Caenorhabditis elegans: one gene and its partners. The protein of the gene in region 3 purifies or fractionates together with the protein of the main gene of each other region. This does not show direct contact. Each region holds a gene or a part of one and is shown on either strand. Other genes may lie near its edges. The genes, in order: eif-2A, rfgp-2 and ufm-1.

Region 1 (4,603 bases), on a different chromosome or scaffold from region 3:
ACATCCTCGTGATGATGAGACACTCAGATGAGAGACTGTACTCTTACGATAATCCACGTGTTGTTATCATAGATTAAACACCTGGGATGAGCAAGTAACGAATTTTTTGAACAGTTTTTCGAGGTTTTGAGACTTGAAAAATACGGAAGTTTCGGAAGAAGTAGGTAAGCCGGTACTGACTTAGTATAAGATTAGAAAAGGATCATGGTCTTATACTTTTAGAAAGACTTGGTAAAGAGTAAACTGAAAATGAGTAGGTGAGCAGTAAGAATTCAATTCTGCCGTTGGCGAGGGAACGCTTACAAAGAAGCACATATATTTTCAGAAAAAGCAGAATTACCGTAAATCGGATGCTTCTCAATATGGCACATCTACTATTTCGTTGCAAATATAACAATCTATCGTGTCTCGAAATACCACGAAAATCCAAATTTTAATTAATTTTCCGTAGTTTTTCTTGCGATTTGTAACAATTAATTTGTTTGAAATTAGTTTTTTATAAATTTCTATGAAAATTTTTTAACGAGAAACTATGAAAAATCGATGAAAAATCCGCAGCAACAAAAATTTTAAATTACAGTACTCTTTAAAGGCGCAGATCCGTTTGTATTTTACCAAGAGAGCGCGTGGCAAGACCGGGGACCGTATTTTCTAACGCTCGATAATGTTATATTCGAGTTTTTTTGAATTAAAAGGGGTCTACTTTCCGATTATGACCTCAAAAGAGTACTATAATTACAAACTTTCGTTACTCTAGAATTCTCCTCGATTTTTTATAGTTTTTCGTTGTAAATACATTTAATTATTTACAAAAAAACTTTTTTATAATTCAAAAACACATAAATGTTAAAAAATCGATGAAAATTCCACAGCAAAATTTGTTTTTGAAATTACAGTACTCTTTAAAGACGCACACCCTTTTGCATTAAAAAAATTGTCGCTTCGAGACCGGGTACCGTGTTTTTTTTGGCGAAAAAAGCCAAATTCAGTGCCTGGGTAATATTGTTTTTTTCATCCTTGAAAATAACTTCTCGAAATAAATTTTCAAGAGACCAATTTCAATTCCGCCTACGCGTTGTCTCTATTCAATTTCTTATTTTCATTCAGCGTAGCAATGAAATTCGAAATATTTGGAGAAAAGACAGTGGCTTCCATAAATACTCAGATTTTTGTCGATCGAAATACGACGAAATTCCGGAAATATTTATATATTGTGTAGCTTTAGTTTAAATTTAAATTTAACTCTGCAATTTAATATTATGCAATTAATCGATTAAACAAAGTCTTTGCAAGTTTGTAAACTATTTCTGCCTACTGTACTTTGTGTGCAAACACCGTGACGCAAACGATGCACTAAAACTGCATCGAATTAAAAAATCGAATTATTTTTTATTTTTCGAGGAATATTTCTTTTTTTTTTAACTGTTTCTCCCAATATTCAATTTTATTTAATCTTTTCCCGCTAGAATAATTTATTCTGGATACGGTGCGCGAAATTCTGCATTTCCAAATGTATGCCGGCGCCAAATACGACGCCATCTCGTGATTCGAATTTTTTCGTCATTTCCTCGAGCTTTTCTAATTTTCTCCTACTTCCTGAGAAATTTAAGACATTTTCTTTTTTCAGACTTTCTCAAACATTGATTCAGATCAATAAAATGGGTGATAACCTGGTGTACGCCGGTGAGTTTACTTTAGACAGCTTTGAATAGGCCGTAAAATTGCGAAATTTGTTTCAGTTCGATCAAGTGAAGGCTTCTACCTGAAGCGCGGGCTGGGCAAAGACGCGGTGACAGTTTTTGAGCAGAATAAGTACGTAATTCAGAACAATTATCAGGAATCAATAATTAAATGTATTTTTTAGAACCTCGAGAGACGTCGCTTGCAATGTGTTCGCTTACAGCAACAACGGACAGCTGTTCGCCTATTGCGATAATCAAGTGTAAGAAGAAGTTTCAGGAGAGGAATATATAGTTAAATAATGTTTTTTTTTTAGAACACGGGTATTCGAGATCGCAACAAACAAGGAGATTCTTTGTGTGGAGCTGAAAAGAACTCGGAAGATCTTGTTCTCACCAAAAGACAATTTCCTGCTCACATTCGAGCCATGGGCAGTTTACGGACCAAAGGTTTGAATAATTTTTTATTTAATTCAGTTTGAAAACCTTTTTTTCAACTTTAGACTGCAGAGAACCAAAAGCCAGAACCAAATGTGCGAGTCTACAGTCTTGCGGATGGAAAGCACGTATCAACGTTCTCAGCTCCAAAAGAAGCATCGTGGGAGCCTCAGTTTTCGGATGATGAGTCGTTGGCTGCAAGAATGGTTGGCAGTGAAGTCTTCTTTTATACAAACATGTCTTTCGGTATGAATTTCATGAATTTTCTGAAAATTGATATTATTATTACGACCGTTATCATAAAACTTATCTTTTCAGACCGTTACGACCACAAGCTTGTCGAGAAGGGTGCGACCAACTTCGCATTGAGTCCAGGTCCTGCTCCGAATCACGTGGCTGTCTATGTCCCTGCCGTTGGATCCACTCCAGCTCGCGTGCGAGTTCATCGAGTCTCCGAATCGTTCCCAGTCGTCGGCAATCGTACGTTCTTCAAATCTGACAAAGCCGTAATGACATGGAATCAGCGTGGTCAATCACTTCTCATTCTTGCTTCTGTTGAAGTGGATAAGACAAATCAATCTTATTATGGAGAGCAAAGTGTTCGTTTTAAAATTTTCTCAAATCTCCCCAATAATTATTTAATTAATTTCAGCTATACCTTATCAACATTCAATCAGGAGAGTCTGTAGTTGTTCCTTTGGAGAAGAAAGGTCCAATTTACGCTGCAAAGTGGAATCCCAACGGCCGAGAATTCGCTGTTTGCTATGGTTATATGCCAGCCAAAGTGACATTCTATAATCCGAGAGGAGTTCCAATTTTCGACACGATTGAAGGTCCACGAAACGATGTTTTCTATAATGCATTTGGAAATATTGTTCTGATTTGTGGATTTGGAAATATCGCGAAGGGAAAAATGGAGTTTTGGGATGTGGAGACGAAAAAGGAGATTATTTCGATCGAGGTGCCAAATACAACTCTTTTCGATTGGGCTCCAGATGGTCAACATTTTGTTACATGCACCACTGCTCCAAGGCTTCGTATAGATAACAGTTACCGCTTCTGGCATTACACGGGTCGAATGCTTGCTGAAACTCACTTCGAGTCTCCAAAAGAGCTGTGGGAAGTTCGCTGGCGTCCAATGACTGGATACAACAAGTTTGCCATCAAAGAGCTAACCAAGACGGACAAAATGGCCGCTGGCTTGCCAATTCGAAAGAAGGATGCATCTCATCCACTGAATAATGTTCCAGCAGGAGCAGTTCGTCAGGCTGGTGCCTACATTCCACCTCATCTCAGGAAACCGCTAGGAGGTGGAGGATCAGCTGGACCACCATCAGCTGCAGCACCTACGCCAGGAAACCAGAATCAACGGCCTGCACAGCCACGTGCTAATGGAAACGGAAATGCTCCACAACCATTCCGACCACAGCAATCGGAACAAGAAAGGAAAGCATTCCAACTCAAAAAGAAGGTTGAGGAGATTAAAGTTCTCAAGGTGAGTTGTGCGAAGTTTCAAAAATATTTTCAAACAAATAATTTCCAGCAACGAGTGGCGAATGGCGATCAACTTCAACCAAACCAAATGGAGAAGATCCAACGTGAAAACGAATATCTCTCAGAGCTCTCCAAACTGACCATTTAAAATTGTGTTCTTTTTTTCTGTGTTTTTCCCTCGATTATCATTTTTTTGTTTCTCTTTTCTCCCGATTGACTCACCTGTTTCCTATGAGTTTTAGACTTTATACATTCGAGTGAAACCTGAAATTTTTCCCCAGTTGTTTTGAATATCTATTTATCAATTGTCTTCCATATTCTTTTAGCCTATCTTTTTCTCTCCCCAATCTCTTATTATGATTGTTTATTTCTTTAATTATTATTGTCATAATATGAACTCCCGTAATAAGAGTAACAAAAAAGTGATGAAATGAAGGAAGTTACGAGCTGTTCGTCTCGATGCTCTTCTCTCGTTTGATGTAGTCGGTGATCTCCTGTCGCAACTTTGGATTACACTTGGCGTAGATGAAAATACGAATTGCCGAGGATGCCATATAGCAGATGGAGACAGTATCAGACAAAACTGAAATGGAAAAGTATTTTATTATTATAATAGAAGTTTTTAAAAACTAACCGATATAAAATGTGCTCGACTGCATTCGATCCGTGGATTCGTAAAGATAAGATGGATCGAACCTCTCAAGGATCGTCAGAAAAAGATGAACGCCATTACAAACCAAATATGAAGTGACAATAGCCAACATCGTGTAAATTGCATTTCGAAGCTGTGATCGCTTACTTCGGGATGATCTGGAACAAAAATAATTAATTTTGGAAAAGAAATGAGCTCCAGTGAGCTCAAATGTGCTTCTAGAAGAAGTTGACATGTTTTAACATCGAATATGTAGAAGTTCAAAGCGCCAGCTCTTGGTTTCACATAAATATTATTATAGGACCGCAGAAAAAAACTGATCGACATATTAGCGCGCTCC
Region 2 (4,372 bases), on a different chromosome or scaffold from region 3:
CCTTCACATGCCAATCTTCTTCTATCATTAGTCGTTTAATGCGTCGAGCTTCTTCCTTGAATTTCAGAGTTTGACGATCGACTTCTTCTTTTGATGGGATTCGATGCACATGTCTGGAAATGTAGTCTTATTTCGAAAGTTTTGTGTGAATCTAAGTATACCTGATTAAGAAATAACCACCACAGATGTAAGGAAGGAGCAGCAGATTTTGAAAATAGAGTAGGAGCAATTCAACATAATACATGAACATTTCACGGGTAGAAATTGCTGAAAACGTAGCATTATTTCAACAACCGGTACCTCCCACATATCTTTTGGCAACAATAAAGTAAGCCTGCCTAGGCATAATGAAGCTAGATGCTCACCTATATATTTCCTAGAAGTTTCCGATTTCGCATTCCTTATTTCAAAGCCAAAATGGATGATAAGAATTATATAAAGCACGATAAGATAGACTTTTTTGTAGATTTTCAATGCGTAAAATATGAAAAGTGCAATTAAACCCTGAAATTTTTAAAATTTATTTGCAATTCCATTCGGAAAATCTCTCACATTCTGTAGTGATTTAGTGGCACTTGTGCATGATCTCGTCGAATGGTGTTTATTGAATACCGGATTTATAAGCTCAAATCCATCGATCTTGAATTGCTGAGGCTGACAAACTCTCAAATTTGATCAAACTGATTAGGCTTTTAGGCTCAAATAAGCTACTAACATTATCGAGTAGTATATGGGAATGAAGCTGAAAAATATGAGACCAACTGAATACCAACGAAGATGTAGCTGGAAGAAATCAATTACTCTCAGAAACATGTTATTTGAGCTCACTCTTAAATTGCACTTTGCTTCAATAAAGGCATAGGTTCTTTTATTCAATTGCTTCTCGAATAATGGTTTACCTCATCTTCAACATCTTCCAATTCGGTTTCTTCGAGAGAGTGACCAACTGATTTATCCACTGATTTTGATGCACGTTTACGTGGTGTAACTACCATATTTTTTGAAAATACATTTTTTGAGGTAATTTTTCCGTCCACAGTCGGTCTGGTCGTTTCACGTTTCAACCAAAGGTCGAAGTATAATATTTATAATGTTATTTCACATTTTAAGCAGAGCATTGTGGACTAATCAGAAAGTGAGGCATTTATAACTTTAGTTTCAAAATTATGCTTTAAAATGTATGGTCATCTACAATCACTAGCTGTTATAGACACCTGTGTTTCACTTAAATAGAGAAACTTTCTTTCTGAAATAAATTAATTCATTTCCTCGAAATGCTCGTGAAATTCCGTGCAAAGTCCGCAGCGCGGTGTTTGCGTACTTTCGACGTGTAACTCGCTAAAATTATGTGAAGCCGGCGCAACTGAAAGACTACAAACCAACGTTGAAAATGGCTTAATCGATAGTTTTCAGTTAATTTTTTCACCAATTCTTATGTAGAAATCATTGACCATCATCTCTTATCAGTGCAACAACTTCCTGATCCACTAAGCGTTGAACGCCGATTTTTTTCTCTAATTTGGCAGAAACCGGTTTCTTTTCATTGATTTTATGTTCGCGTACAGCCATTTGACAGCTTTTCCCCCAATCTTTGCAAACATGTGTACCCAAGTTATTGATTTCATTTTTCAGGCAAAATGTCCGACGAAAATGGGCCTTCCAAAGTTGATTTGCAGACAGCAATGAGAAAAATGAGAGCTCTCCCACCGAACAAAGTAAGATTTTCATTTTGCTGTTGATTGAAAAATCTAAATATATATTATCTTGAAAATAAATAAAAAACAAAAACGTATTTTTTCAGCTCTGCTTCGACTGTGGTGCGAGGAACCCCACCTGGTGCACTGTCACATATGGTTCGTATTTCAAATAATTCTAATCACTCATTAAACATTTTTCAGGTGTATTTCTCTGTATTGATTGTTCTGCTGTTCATCGTAACCTCGGTGTTCACCTCACGTTCGTCCGTTCCACCAATTTGGATACAAATTGGACTTGGCTTCAGTTGAGAGCCATGCAACTCGGAGGAAATGGAAATGCGGTTAGTTTATTCGATATGAAACACAACTGTTGAATTCATTTTTTTTGCAGAATCAATTCTTCAAAGCGCATGGCTGCAATACCACTGAAGCTCAACAAAAATACAAAAGTCGAGCGGCTCAGATGTATAGAGATAAGCTCTCAACCCTGTGCCAGGAAGCCCAGCGAAAATTCGGGACTCAATTGATTATTGATACAGTAACTCATGCAGAGGAAAAGCCAGCTGTGAGTTTGACTGTTTTCATACTCGTCTTTATTTATTTATTTCAGGAGGAAGAAGATTTCTTCGCTCAAGATTTCGGTCACACTTCTGCATCTGCTACTTCCTTGTCTTCTGATGCATATATTGCTGATCACAAATCTGAAGACTCTACTCACGGTCCAAGCGTTGATCATCTCGACTCTTCCGTCGCTGTTCCTACCTCTGCTCCAGTTTCCGTGATTCTTAAAAAACCAATCAAGAAAGCCACTCTCGGCGCCAAGAAAAATGCTCTCGGAGCTCAAAAAGTGCGGATTAATTTTGATGAAATTGAGCAAAGAGCTGCTGAAAAAGAGAGACAGACGGCCGCCGAAGTTGCTGCGAACAAGCTTGCTTATCAAACAGAGCTTGATGGTAAGAAAAAATCCGATGATGCCGCTGCATTGCAAAAGCTCAGTGCCAAATTTGCCATGCAAGATATTGATGCTCAAAGAAAGCAAATGGAGGTAGGATTTCAAACAAATGACATTGGTTTTTAAAGTTAATATTTTTCAGGCAAAGGTTGCAAAAGATCCTACAAAAGCCGCTTCAGTCGATCGTCTCGGAATGGGAGGTGTCGGTAGATCCCGTGCCGCTCATTCAGTCGCTGGTGGTATTCGATCTATTAAACAGGATGATGTTCTTACGTTCAAGAAACCTTCACAGCCAAAAGAAGATGACGATTGGGAGGTTATTGATGATAAGTACGGAAAGAAAAGTACGAACAACGAGGATGATTTCTTCTCAAAAGACTATACTTCGAGTAGTAGCAAGAAAACAACAAAGGAAGATGATTTCTTTGACTCATTTGAGACGCAACCTGTGCAGTAAGTGAAATTATATAAAATTAATTTAAAACACGACTTTACGACTTTTTTCCAGAAAATCCCGCTATACCGCATCTTCTTCCTCTTCGTCAACATCCCGTGCACCAACGACTCGCCTGACTGCTGGAGCATCTCCAATTTCGGATGTTGATCTTCAGAAGAAATTCGGAAATGCTAAAGCTATCTCAAGTGATATGTACTTTGGAACGCCTGAAATGGATGTATGTTTTTATATTATTGGTAATATTTTTAAATTTACAATTTTATATATTTTCAGTGTGAAACAAGAAGTGCATTGACCAAGTGTGAAGGACAGACTTCATTTGGATCCGAAGATTTGTGGGGTAACGGAAGCCAGCAACGTCAATCTAGTCAAGTAAGCTCGAAGCTGTCATCGAAATTAAAATATTCTAAATCTAATTTTCAGGTTCCTGATATGTCTGATTTGAAAGATTCTTTCCGTGCCGGAGCTTCAAAGGTCGCTGAGAAATGGTCAACGCTGTCGAGTTCATTCTCTACTTACATGTCGGTAAGTAAATTTTTATTCCAAAGTTTTCTGGAGGTATTGAAAAAATATAAGACAGTTTAAAAATTAAAATAAGTTTATAATCCACAATTCAGCGTGCTCCTCCAGCAACTGGAGAAAAAACATAAATTCCTGGCTTTTAACGGCGAGTTTATCCCATCCGTAAAATTGGTTTTTAATGTTGTTTTCTTTTAGTTTTGTCTTTATCTTTTATTTTTCAACCTATGGGTTTTTGTATTCTCACTGAATTTCGGGTCTTTCAAAACTTTTTTACTTTATTTTATTGAATGTTGTGTGTCATTGGGTTTTTCAATTTCTTTTGTCGTTGTGAATGTTTCATATATCAGTTTTGTTGGGCACAAACTTAAGTTAACTTCCATTCAAAAAAAAACCTTCAAATTGAGAAAATCGTAATTGCAAGCTGTGTAGATTTACTGTAAACAACACACACATCCGGAATAACGGAGTGTCGTAGTTTATTTTCATTTTTTCGAATTTCGTTTTGTTTTAACAATTATATTTTTCTTCTAAATTCCTTAAGAGCGTTTCAATTTTTTTTTGTTGAAAATTGTCATGACTAGCATCTAACTCAGGGAAATTTAAAAAAATTTCTATAACTTGAAAATTCGCTTTGCATTGAGCCCTGACCAAAACAAGTCACCCTCTCAGCTGCTCATTTTCTTATTTTCGTCGCGAGAACGCAAACAAGGATAAACTTGACCAAAAAACACGTTTGTTTACCAT
Region 3 (3,060 bases):
GCAAATGTTTTGTGAATGAAAATCTGCAATTTAATATTTTTGCAAAATAACTGGATTGAGTCAACCAACTTGTCCAGCTTCAAATGTTGGTTTATTAGTTGATGGCAAGAGAAGTCCAATTTCTTTCAATATTGGCGTTGTGGCGCTTCTGAATCTTAAAAATGATGATTATCGAGTCTGAAATCATCTATAAATTACCTTGACAGTAAGACTTTCCCAGCGGAAAAGTTTCTTACACTGTGCTGAATAGCACTTCGAAGTTTCATATCTGAAATTGTTGGAATAAACATGAATTTTTTCAGATTTTTTGAGTAACAACGGGAATAAACCACGGAATCATAGATGTCAGGAAATACAAATATAACAACTTTAATTAAATTTATGCAAAAATTCTACACGAAAAATACTGAATATCACCTAGAAAAATGGAATTAAATGAAATTTTAAAAAGAACAAACAAACAGGAATAAATTATTTTCTTGGTTTCATCCCCTTATGAATCGAGCACACTCCAAATGTCAAATTCTCGTATCGAACATTACTAAAGCCTTCTTCTCTAATTATTCTTGCAAACTCGTCTTGATTCGGGAATTTACGAATACTCTCAACCAAATATTGATAACTGGCACGATCACTGGCAAGAATTTCTCCAAGAACCGGGATCACATTGAAGGAGTATGCATCGTAAATTGGTTTCAGTGCAGAATTCACTTCTGAGAACTCCAAAATAGCAAGTTGACCTCCAGGTTTGAGTACACGAAAAGCTTCACGAACAACCTTTTCAGGGTGTGTACAATTTCTGATTCCGAAGGACATTGTGAACAGATCGTAAGTGTTCGACTCAAATGGCATTTGCTCGGCGTTAGCGCATACCCATTCCGCGCGAGATGGTTGGATCTGAAGTAATACATTAAGGATATGGAATTTTTTCAAAAACAATTACATCTCTCTCCTTCTCCGCTCGTTTTTTTCCAACATCGAGCATTGGTTGATTAATATCGGAAACTGTCACTTTTGCGGTAGGCGAATGTCTGAGAATTCTGAAAGCGATATCCCCGGTTCCTCCTGCCATATCCAGACATTTCGCATTATACGGTACTTGCAGGCCACCAACATAATAGTCTTTCCATAATCGGTGAACTCCCATGCTCATTGCATCATTCATCAAATCGTACTTTTTCGCGACGTTTGCGAAGACGTGGTGAACTAAAAAAAGACATATAGTATCAGTAAATTATATAGATGTGTTGGAAAAGGGCTTATTTTATGTAGAGAACTTTGTGATTATTATTTGTGGCTATCAGCTTTTTTACGTTTCTGAATCGAACAGCTAACCTTTCTGCTCCTTCTCTGCCTCATCAACGTCAGTGAATCCAAAATGTGTTTTCTTTCCGGGCTCTGACCGTTTATTATCTGAATTGACTTGATTCACCGAAAACTGCCGGAAATTTCCAACGTTCGTAGGTTTTCTCATGCTTTTAAATAAGTTTGTTGCTCCTTTCATTCTGAAAATAAATGAGTTTTAATTCGGACAAAAGATGAGAAAATTTTGAGAACTTAATTGCGAAGTTGAATGATAAATTAAGTGATAAAAATCACGATACTCTGAAAGTTCTTGCAAGAAATATTCTACCGCATTTTCCCGTGGAGATTCCTAGGCCATCACTCCATAATGAATTTTGAAGAGACGTATTTCTCGTTTTTGTGGTATTTGTACACTAAATACTAGCGTTCGAACTACAATCTTCATTTAAATTTCACTCGAACTTTAACATATGAAAAATAATTGAATTATATTATAGTTCTTGATCACGCCATCACTGGCCTAGGTTCCGTCAAGTGGCCGAGTTTTGTAAGAGACACTTGGCATTTTTCCAGTTTTTCTCTCCTATTGTTTTTCAGTTTTTCAGGTTATTTTGTGCATTTCTGTTATGTCCTTTTCTTTATCAATTTGTTCGACTTTTTAAAAAACAATTTTTCAAACAAACTGGACGATTATTATTGATTTTATGCGAGAGATTTTCAGGAATGTCGGGTGGAACAGCAGCAACAACTGCCGGTTCCAAGGTGACCTTCAAAATCACTCTAACAAGTGATCCGAAGCTCCCATTCAAGGTGTAAGTTTTTATATTTAAATTTTCGGTTTACTTTTGATTTGGAGTTTTGCGTCATGCATTAATTTTTCAGCCTCTCCGTGCCGGAAAGTACCCCATTCACCGCCGTTCTCAAGTTTGCCGCTGAAGAATTCAAGGTCCCTGCGGCTACATCAGCAATCATTACGAACGACGGAGTTGGCGTCAATCCAGCTCAACCTGCCGGAAACATTTTTTTGAAGCACGGAAGTGAACTTCGTCTGATTCCACGTGATCGCGTCGGCCATTGAGCATAAGCCAATTGTTGTCTACATTCCTGTATTATGACATAATTATTTTTACAAAATGTGATGTCTCTGTGCATTTCTATCCTAAACTCGCTAAGTCAGATTTGAATATCTAAATTCTTCTAAATATTAATTTATTGAAATTCCCCTTTCCAAAGTACGCTATGAAGCTTTTTTCTCAAACTTGTTCAATCAATTTATCAATACTGGTTGCTCTTCCGCATTTTATCTTACTTTTTTAAAACTACTTTACTTTTAGTCTTATATTATTTTATTTAAGATGAAGCTCTCCCCAGCTACCAAGTCTTTCATCGGTAAGACAGTCGATATTTCCACATTTGCAATCCAATGGGGATTCGTGCCGTTTGTGGTCTACCTTGGATTTAAGAAAGGCGCTGAGCCAATGCCAAATGGACAGGTAAAAACTAGAAAAAGAAACATTTAGTTTTAAAATCACGTCTCCGAGAGAGCGTAATAAATAAAAAATGCGTCCCATAATACACAAGATTCAAACATTTATATAGATACCGCATTTTCTTTACAAGTTTCTCGTTGTGTAAATAGAACAATTGCATGCGAGACGCTGCCAATTATTTTTTAATTTATTTGTCAAAAGTTTAAGTTTTACCAAAAACACCTATGCTTTCAATTCAAAGATTTAAGAATTCATATTTCAGATC

What was found.
Region 1: the proteins of ufm-1 (region 3) and eif-2A fractionate together in Caenorhabditis elegans (co-fractionation; one large-scale study listed by BioGRID). This does not show direct contact.
Region 2: the proteins of ufm-1 (region 3) and rfgp-2 fractionate together in Caenorhabditis elegans (co-fractionation; one large-scale study listed by BioGRID). This does not show direct contact.

The regions. Positions count from the first base shown.
Region 1 is NC_003280.10:10,415,179-10,419,781, forward strand, and holds eif-2A (Eukaryotic translation initiation factor 2A), read left to right. Parts: upstream 1-1,627; 5' UTR 1,628-1,658; coding exon 1,659-1,683; intron 1,684-1,739; coding exon 1,740-1,812; intron 1,813-1,864; coding exon 1,865-1,942; intron 1,943-1,996; coding exon 1,997-2,129; intron 2,130-2,182; coding exon 2,183-2,363; intron 2,364-2,435; coding exon 2,436-2,716; intron 2,717-2,769; coding exon 2,770-3,612; intron 3,613-3,660; coding exon 3,661-3,759; 3' UTR 3,760-4,051; downstream 4,052-4,603. Other genes in the region: frpr-21 (G-protein coupled receptors family 1 profile domain-containing protein), read right to left, coding at 4,052-4,194, 4,246-4,421. UniProt on the Caenorhabditis elegans protein: Functions in the early steps of protein synthesis of a small number of specific mRNAs. Acts by directing the binding of methionyl-tRNAi to 40S ribosomal subunits.
Region 2 is NC_003280.10:5,426,833-5,431,204, reverse strand, and holds rfgp-2 (ARF GTPase activating Protein), read left to right. Parts: upstream 1-1,632; 5' UTR 1,633-1,637; coding exon 1,638-1,715; intron 1,716-1,801; coding exon 1,802-1,853; intron 1,854-1,898; coding exon 1,899-2,038; intron 2,039-2,088; coding exon 2,089-2,262; intron 2,263-2,307; coding exon 2,308-2,742; intron 2,743-2,791; coding exon 2,792-3,102; intron 3,103-3,157; coding exon 3,158-3,323; intron 3,324-3,379; coding exon 3,380-3,478; intron 3,479-3,529; coding exon 3,530-3,631; intron 3,632-3,723; coding exon 3,724-3,756; downstream 3,757-4,372. UniProt on the Caenorhabditis elegans protein: GTPase-activating protein for the ADP ribosylation factor family.
Region 3 is NC_003281.10:7,856,953-7,860,012, forward strand, and holds ufm-1 (Ubiquitin-fold modifier 1), read left to right. Parts: upstream 1-2,026; 5' UTR 2,027-2,028; coding exon 2,029-2,117; intron 2,118-2,187; coding exon 2,188-2,383; 3' UTR 2,384-2,560; downstream 2,561-3,060. Other genes in the region: tag-307 (ApaG domain-containing protein), read right to left, coding at 1-23, 70-154, 199-290; coq-5 (2-methoxy-6-polyprenyl-1,4-benzoquinol methylase, mitochondrial), read right to left, coding at 472-897, 944-1,206, 1,336-1,504; tomm-7 (Mitochondrial import receptor subunit TOM7 homolog), read left to right, coding at 2,661-2,798, 3,058-3,060. UniProt on the Caenorhabditis elegans protein: Ubiquitin-like modifier which can be covalently attached via an isopeptide bond to substrate proteins as a monomer or a lysine-linked polymer.